2 linked regions of the Oryzias latipes genome follow. Each later gene encodes a partner of the first gene's protein in a complex. Links are inferred from orthologs where the notes say so. Each region holds a gene or a part of one and is shown on either strand. Other genes may lie near its edges. The genes, in order: nbas and rint1.

The links.
Region 2: nbas (region 1) and rint1 share a complex: the UniProt entries of both Homo sapiens proteins name them as parts of the NRZ complex. The link is inferred for Oryzias latipes from reciprocal best matches to the Homo sapiens genes NBAS and RINT1.

What each region holds. Positions count from the first base shown.
Region 1 is NC_019882.2:14,745,748-14,749,568, reverse strand, and holds part of nbas (neuroblastoma-amplified sequence), read left to right. Parts: intron 1-1,373; coding exon 1,374-1,512; intron 1,513-1,586; coding exon 1,587-1,652; intron 1,653-1,717; coding exon 1,718-1,846; intron 1,847-2,877; coding exon 2,878-2,941; intron 2,942-3,375; coding exon 3,376-3,569; intron 3,570-3,821. UniProt on the Homo sapiens protein: Involved in Golgi-to-endoplasmic reticulum (ER) retrograde transport; the function is proposed to depend on its association in the NRZ complex which is believed to play a role in SNARE assembly at the ER. Required for normal embryonic development.
Region 2 is NC_019881.2:11,299,396-11,303,022, reverse strand, and holds part of rint1 (RAD50-interacting protein 1), read right to left. Parts: intron 3,374-3,627; coding exon 3,236-3,373; intron 3,159-3,235; coding exon 3,064-3,158; intron 1,922-3,063; coding exon 1,817-1,921; intron 1,216-1,816; coding exon 995-1,215; intron 716-994; coding exon 535-715; intron 1-534. UniProt on the Homo sapiens protein: Involved in regulation of membrane traffic between the Golgi and the endoplasmic reticulum (ER); the function is proposed to depend on its association in the NRZ complex which is believed to play a role in SNARE assembly at the ER.

The sequences.
Region 1 (3,821 bases):
CTTTTAGGGCCCTCTGGCCTTTTCTTGACTGTCTCTGTCTGCAGCTGTTGTCCCACAGACTCAACAGTGTTTCTGTTAGACTTGATCGTTCTTCAAATATTTCTATCTGGACATCTGCAGAAAGCTTTACAAGTCTTGAAATCAGTTTTCACCCTGAACCAGTCCGGAGACGACGGCGTGTTAGGAATTGTGCTCAACATTTAAATAATTATTTCACAAATTTCCTTCTCTTTCATCATTTTGACAACTGAGAGCGCTGTCGATTTGCTCTGTTTTATGTCGATTTCAGCGTTGGCGCTAAATGTAAGTTAACCTCATGAGAACTTCTAGTGGTTTTAATGCAGCCTAAAGCATAAACTGTTAAAGGATCAGGTGTTACCGACCAGAAAAAACTGCTGTTTTTGAGGAGAGTGAGAGGGAAATTGGGATTGAGCTACATTTATCATGTTGGAACTGAGATAAAGAACATGTGAGGTTTCTCACACAGACTCCTGCAGAAGGCTTTTTGCACTGTCCAATGAGGCCAAGAAGCTTACTCAGGAATAAATGAAGCAATCTCTTTAATGTAATACCTGTAGGAATTGACTGCAGCAGCGCCGAATGCCCTTGGCCTGTTTCACCACATTGTATTCATTGGGTTTGCTTCATTATTTCTGGCTCGCAGTTATGGCCGTGCTGTTTTCACCAGAGTCCCCACTCTGCACAAACCGGGTTTGCTTTGGCCGGTAAAACCTGGCTCGGCAGCCTAATGAGGTTTGGCAGCTACTGTCAATGTTTGCCAAATGATAGATGAGATGAAACATTAATGACTCCTGTGTGAAAACTGGGTCAACATCAAAGAGAACGGAGGGATGTGGAGAAGTAAAGGTGGAAACCCCTGATATGAAGCATGGTACTTTAAAAACACACTAGAAGATGTGCACGCTTTCCTTTTTTGCATAACATTCAGATAAATGTGCTTTAGGAATATTAAAAAAACAAATTGAAGTGAATATTTTTAAGTAAAAATTCACAGGCTATAAAATAAATGTGTCGTATAAGATCCACTGTATGTTTAATTTACAGAATATGTCTCAGAAATGTTTGTTCATTAAATAATTCCACAGATCTGAAATTAAATACTCAGAATTTCTGCACTAGGGGGCACTGTTGAGCTAAACAGGTTAAGAAAACAACTCTTTTCTTTTTTTTTTTAAACTGAGTTTCATGTTTTCTCACAAGAGTTTTACTCAAATATTAGCAAGCATTGCTTTGCTACAAAGCATCCCAATAATGATAATTTTTACTCGAACTTTGACCTTAAACCTTTGTTTCGGTTTTTAGTTCTTGTTGTGAAGCCGTTATTGCTGGTCACGCCACATGTCTTTTTGCAGGTTGCTGCTGGTGGGGGGCTGTGAATCAGGAGAGGACGGCGCCTCCAAGGCCACTCGCAGCGGCCTCACGGCCTGGAGGGCTCTCTCCAGTTCACCGCACTACAAGCAGGTCACCAGCTATGAGGACGATGTCCGCCTGGTCAGGCTTCCACACACAGACATTTTCACAAATGCCCTAATGTTGTGTCCTAATACACACATTTTTTGTGTCAGAACCAGAAGAAAGGCCTCCTCAGGATTCCCAGCTTTAGATTCTTTCCCAGACAGGGAGATGAAAAGGTATGAGAGTGCTCTCCTCCCTGTGAGAATCCTCCAGGCCCCTGACTGTTGTGTTTGTTGCTCAGGACGGCGTGTTTCGTATGAGTTTGAGCCCTGACGGCCGCCTGCTGGCTGTCATCCACTTCTCTGGACGCCTGTCTGTCTGGGACATCCCCTCTTTCAAACAGAGGGCGTCATGGAAACAGGACCAACAGGTACACATCTTAACCGCTTTTAAACTGCGTGGCTCCCTAAGGCACTCATAGTTTTGCTTTAAGTCCCAATTCCATCATCTCTATATCTCTTTTAAAATTGTTCCCTGTGGTCTTTTAATTTAGAATATGCTGTTTTTAGACAAAATCCCCAAATCCTGTGTTGTTTTCTAGGACATAGTTTTTGCAGAGTGGCAGAAGTTAATTAGAAATTCACCTCTGAGTTGTGGGTGGGACTGACCAACCCCACCCTCCCTTCCCATCACCTATAAGTGAGCTATCTGTGTGCACTCTCACAATAGCTCACAGAGCTTTAACCCCTCAACCTAACAGTAACCACGAAAATGGAGGGCAATAGTGGAGCTATCCAGCCGTACAGCTTTGATCCAGATTCCAGCTCAGACTAGAAAAATAAAGATGTACATGGATCTAGTTTTCTACAAGTGGATGCATCAGAATTGAGCGGAGCAGGGAGCTTGTGGCCTGCCCGGCGTACTTTCTGTGTAACAAATATATTATTTTTCAAATGTAACTTTTTTTATCTGCTCCTGATTGTCGACAATTTATAGAAAGGAAAAACTCAGGGAGGCAATTGTGAGCTTGATTTGCTCCATCATCAGAAATTATGCCCCAAAAAATGTTAAAAACACCAAAAGCACAATTTTCATCTGAGTGGATGTTTAAAAAGAAAAAAGGAAAATATCCTTTGTTCGCTTTTCTGCATATATGTTATAAACAAGTTGCTTAACTAGCTTTATTTAGTGTAATCTCTCTAGTTGAGGTGGAAGTGTGTACGTTTTAGAGAATTTCATGCATTTCTCGCTTCCCTGACACCAAAAGCGAGGAGGCTTATGGAAAAGCTTATATTCGCAGGATGTTTTTGCCGACTAATGCGGGGTGTGTGTATGTTCTGCTTCACTGCTGCCAGAGCTTGTGTGCGCTGTAAGAGTAAACAGGGTTAGCAGATTAATTTCTCACCCCCTCTACACCTCCTCCATCTCTTTGGTGCCTCCATCTTTTGGTCCTCCCTGCAGCCGGGATTTGAAGAGATCAACCCAGAGTGGAAGACATCACTGGAGAGAAGGAAGAAAATAAAAGGTATTTGGGCCTAAAGGGCTAAAAGAAGCCATCTTTGTTGCTGATACAGCATTGCACTTTGGATACAATTGAATGATCTTTGACACATGGGATTCGCTGCATTACACAGTTTTTAGGGTGTGCAGACTTTGTATGGTGGGGTTCGCTGGGATTTTTTGTAGTTGAATGTAAACTTTGACAGTTTTGGGCCAGTAGGAATGACAGTTTTGACAGCTTTTGCAAGCAATAATCCATGTTTGTGTCCTCAACTCAAGCATGACAAGAGATTTCAACATCTATAAATATGTCAAGGAGGGAGAAACCAATCAAAAAAATTCTGGTTCAGATAAGAAATCTTCCAAAATAAGAGAGGAGGATTATAAATTTGAAACTCGGGTATGACAGGACAAAGGAGATGTTTCCTCTGGATTTATGTCTTCTCATACCCACCCCAGATAAGGAGCAGTACTACCCACTGGTGGATGTGAATTGGTGGAGTGACGGCGTGTTGATTCTTGCTCGCTGCTCTGGATCAGTCACTGTCTCATCGGTCAGAACATTACGCAACCTTTTGGGGAAGTCCTGTGAATGGTTTGAGCCCTCACCGCGAGTCGCTGCAGCCCATGACGGCGGCTTTCTCAGCCTGGAGGTACGTCCCATGAAAGCTGAAAGAATGAGATTCGAAAAGATTTGAAGGAATAACCCTCCCAGACCAAAATAAAAGGGAAAATATATCTTGTTTGTCCTTTTATCTTAATGACGGCAATGATGTGCCCTAAAAAACCTATTGAAAATTTAAAAATGCTGATCCAAAGTCACAATCATGCAAAAATGCAAAAAAAATGCAGGATAATGTTTTTCCAGCGCATCACATGGACCTTAACTTGGTCAAGCAGCAACC
Region 2 (3,627 bases), on another chromosome or scaffold:
GATTGCATTCAAAGAGCACAATAATCACACACGGTTCATGTTCTACGTTGATTTTTGGGTTCTTTGCGTGGTTCCTTCATACTTCTTCCGTGGGTTATTTGTGAAACATCTGTAAAAAAAAATTCACGTACAGACCACAACTGTTCTCCCTTTTCCACGTATATTCACGTATGACCAATTTTCATCCGTGCAATACGCTCAAAATGTACGTAGCGGCCAACAGTGTTTCCAGACAAAAGGCTCATGCAGGTCAGTGTTTCATTTAATGTTGAAGAAGCATTCTGCTTTTGATAGGGTTAAAAAAAAACATGGCTTCATAAACCTATGCTTATTATCTAGGTTATTTTATGCCCCCCCCCCCCTTGGATTAAATGCTCATTTCACAGCCCATATGTCTTTAGTAAACAGATTCATTGCTTTGTTTCCTTCTCAGATCAATTCCACATAAACTTTTGTCAATGCTCCCATCTTTGTTGTCCTGTTAGCCCCCCCCATCCTGACCAGCGCAGGCATCTGAGGGCGTTCACGTCTTACATCTTGGTAGAGGAAATGGTCAAGCCTCTCTGCCAGGCCCTGCCACGCCAGCTGGAACAGAGGAAGACTCAGAACCTGATGAAGGTTCAGCAGTCTGTCCCGCACACAGAGCATCATGGGACAGGCCGAGCCCGACAGGGACATGATGGACTGATCTTGCTGGGATGGAAGAGACAACCACCTGAAGGACGGACAGGGTAAAAGTCAGAGCACATGTTCACGGACTTCAGACCTTGGTGGTCTTCTGTAAACTGCAGCAATCTGCACAGTAAAAAGGCTTTTTGGATCCTGAGATGTGGGGTAATCATTTTTGAATTAACTGAAATAAAAGGGATTTTAAGCCTTTTGCCAGAGAAACCAGCAGGTCAGAGACCAGACGTTCAAGCATGTCCTGGCTGGCCCTGCCGTGGGGTGAACCCCTGTTTCCGCCTCAGAGGTCATCAGTGGGGAGAGGTCTCACCTTTCCTGACAATAGGGTTTGGCTTTTTCTGAGATTTCTCTCATGAGGAAATCCAGCAGTCTTCCCAGCATGTCTCCTTTCAAGCGGTCCAGCAAAGCCAGGAGTCCATCAAAAAGAGATCCCTCCAAAGAAGCCAGGCGACCCACTTCCATCATGCTGCGGCCCCCCAGGACCTCGTCCTCACCCAGCGACACCGCCGCCTGCTGCAGCTGCAGGAAAAACTGGTGGAGGAAGAGATGCACGGCTGAAAGGGCAGTGACAAAACCCAAAGAGATAAAATCCGGATTCACAGACAGCCGACATGCAGTATCAGCACAGTTTTACCATCATTCCTGTAGTGTGGCAGGCTAATCAACTGATGGACATACAAGGTGTGATTGCATGCTACAAATTCTGAATTCATATAGCGGTGCCAGTCGTTCGTGGCCCCAGATTTGAGAAAAGTCTGAGTCCTCTGCAGAAGAATTGGGGGCTCGTCCGGGATGAACCGGTGCACAGATGTGCAGCTTGTTCTAAATTAATGTTCCCCTTGTGAAATTCATAGAATTGGAAATCATTGGTGCTGTGTACTAATCTAATACTTTACAACCAAGAATAAACATAAACATGGCTTTTGTTCTGTTGGCTAATTTTCCCCTTATAACTATTTATTTTAACTTGTTTATTACAAATAAAAATCCTGTTGTTTTTGCTGTTTTTTCTAGCGTGTTGCTTTGTTTCCTATTTGCTTTCCTGTAAATTCTTGGTGTTTCAAGTCGACCTGAAGAAGTTATCTCAGAGGCAAAGTATCAGTTATATTGAGTTTTTCAATAAAACACCAACCACGTCGTCTGCCCAGTCTCTCAGGATGGTGGAAATGTAGTTAACGGCATTAAGGATGGCACAATAACGGACACCGAGTGGACATCGAGACTCCTCTTTCATGACCTGAAAAACAAGAAAAGGTAGGGACTCAAACCTTAAAAAAAAAAACGAGCATGTTGTGTTCATAGCAGACCGTAGACACAGGTAAATTACTGAAGATAAAAACCTTTCTGCAGCTCTAATGCTACTTACACCCCGACATGTGATGTTCAAGCATGCGCCGAACGTAGGTTCTTGAACACACTTTTAGCATACGCTGTTCACAATGAACTGTCACTACACGATACTAGATGGAAGAGGCTTGGTGCAAAGTGTCAAAGAGGTGCAAATCTGGTGAATCTAGCTTCATTATTTTGTCTTTTACAGCTCTATTCCGATATATGAAAGACTTGGTGTCACAGAATTGCAGTCGGAGACATTACACTATCATTTATTTCTCCTTCATGATCGATTTTCGTATGTGTTTTGAAAAAGACGTCATCTATACATCACTACCAAATCAGAGTCCCTGATTGATTTGTACGTAGAGCCCCAAAACTGACTTAAAAAACTAGTGTAGCTACACGTGACTTTTCATTGGAAGTGGTCGCAAGAACACGCAGTGTGAACATAGCATAAGTGGTGAAATAACTGACCACAAATGCTTCCTTCTAATGTTTGCGCTTTTTTCAATCTGCTTGGAGAATCCGGGCAGCCAGGACCACTAATCCACCTCACATGACGGACTCCTGAGCTTTCTTCCATTTCCTTCACATTACTGCGTTAAATACTTTGAACCTTGCTCAAACCAAACATTTCTCAGATTTCTCTTCAACTCATAAACTCCACCACCTCAGGTGTGAAGTTCCTGCACAGGACTGTGATTGTCTTTTAAATCACAAGCTAATTATCAAATAACAAGTTCCTGATTTGGATATGGATCCATTCATATAAAGATTTGGCTGTGGTGGGTCGCCTTCAAGCAAAAAGAGGTTTTTTTCCGAACTGTCAAAAAAGTAGAAAAAAGTTAAAAATTGGGTTTTTAACATGTTCATGTAGCATTTTTCTCATGATGGAGGACATATGTATGGAGAATTAAGATAAAAAGGCCTGTCTGAGTATTTCTTTATTTGAAACACGGCATAATCATAAATAAAAGACCACTAGATCAAAAGATGATGGGAGTGGGACTTTAAAGTCTGGAGTAGACAGAGGGACGGTCTCACCTGTGTCAGTCGGATTCGGAAGTCATCAACCAGCTCCTTCTGAAGCTCCAGGAACTTGAGCTGCGCAGACGGGGAGGGCAGGGCCCGGTACCGCTCTGCAGAACAGCGGGGGTCTCTGTTGGTGGAGTCTTCAGAGAAGTGAAAGCTACCAAAACATAAGCAGGGTTCTCACCTGTGATGACCTGCAGCAGCGTCATGAAGGTCTCAGCGCAGTCCGGAGCCTTCAGCTCGTCCATGTCACTGATGTCTTTGTACTGAGAGCTCCACGCTCCGTCAGTGGACAGCATGGCGTCCATCTTCTCCACAGCCACTGAAAGCACAGGTCACACCTGTCTGTCTGTCTGTCTGTCCTGCACAGGTAAGGCGGAGCTTGTTTGGGGAAGTGATTTCAGTGTTTTAGGTTCACCAGGATTCAATGACTGAAATGCATTTGAACTAAAAGTTGGAATACTGATTTGAGAAAATGTGATTTCCTTTATTTTGTTATTTTTAAAGTAAGAATTGATCATTTTAATATTCTTTTTTTGTTTTTTATAGTGAAACAAAACTGATTTCAAAATAGAA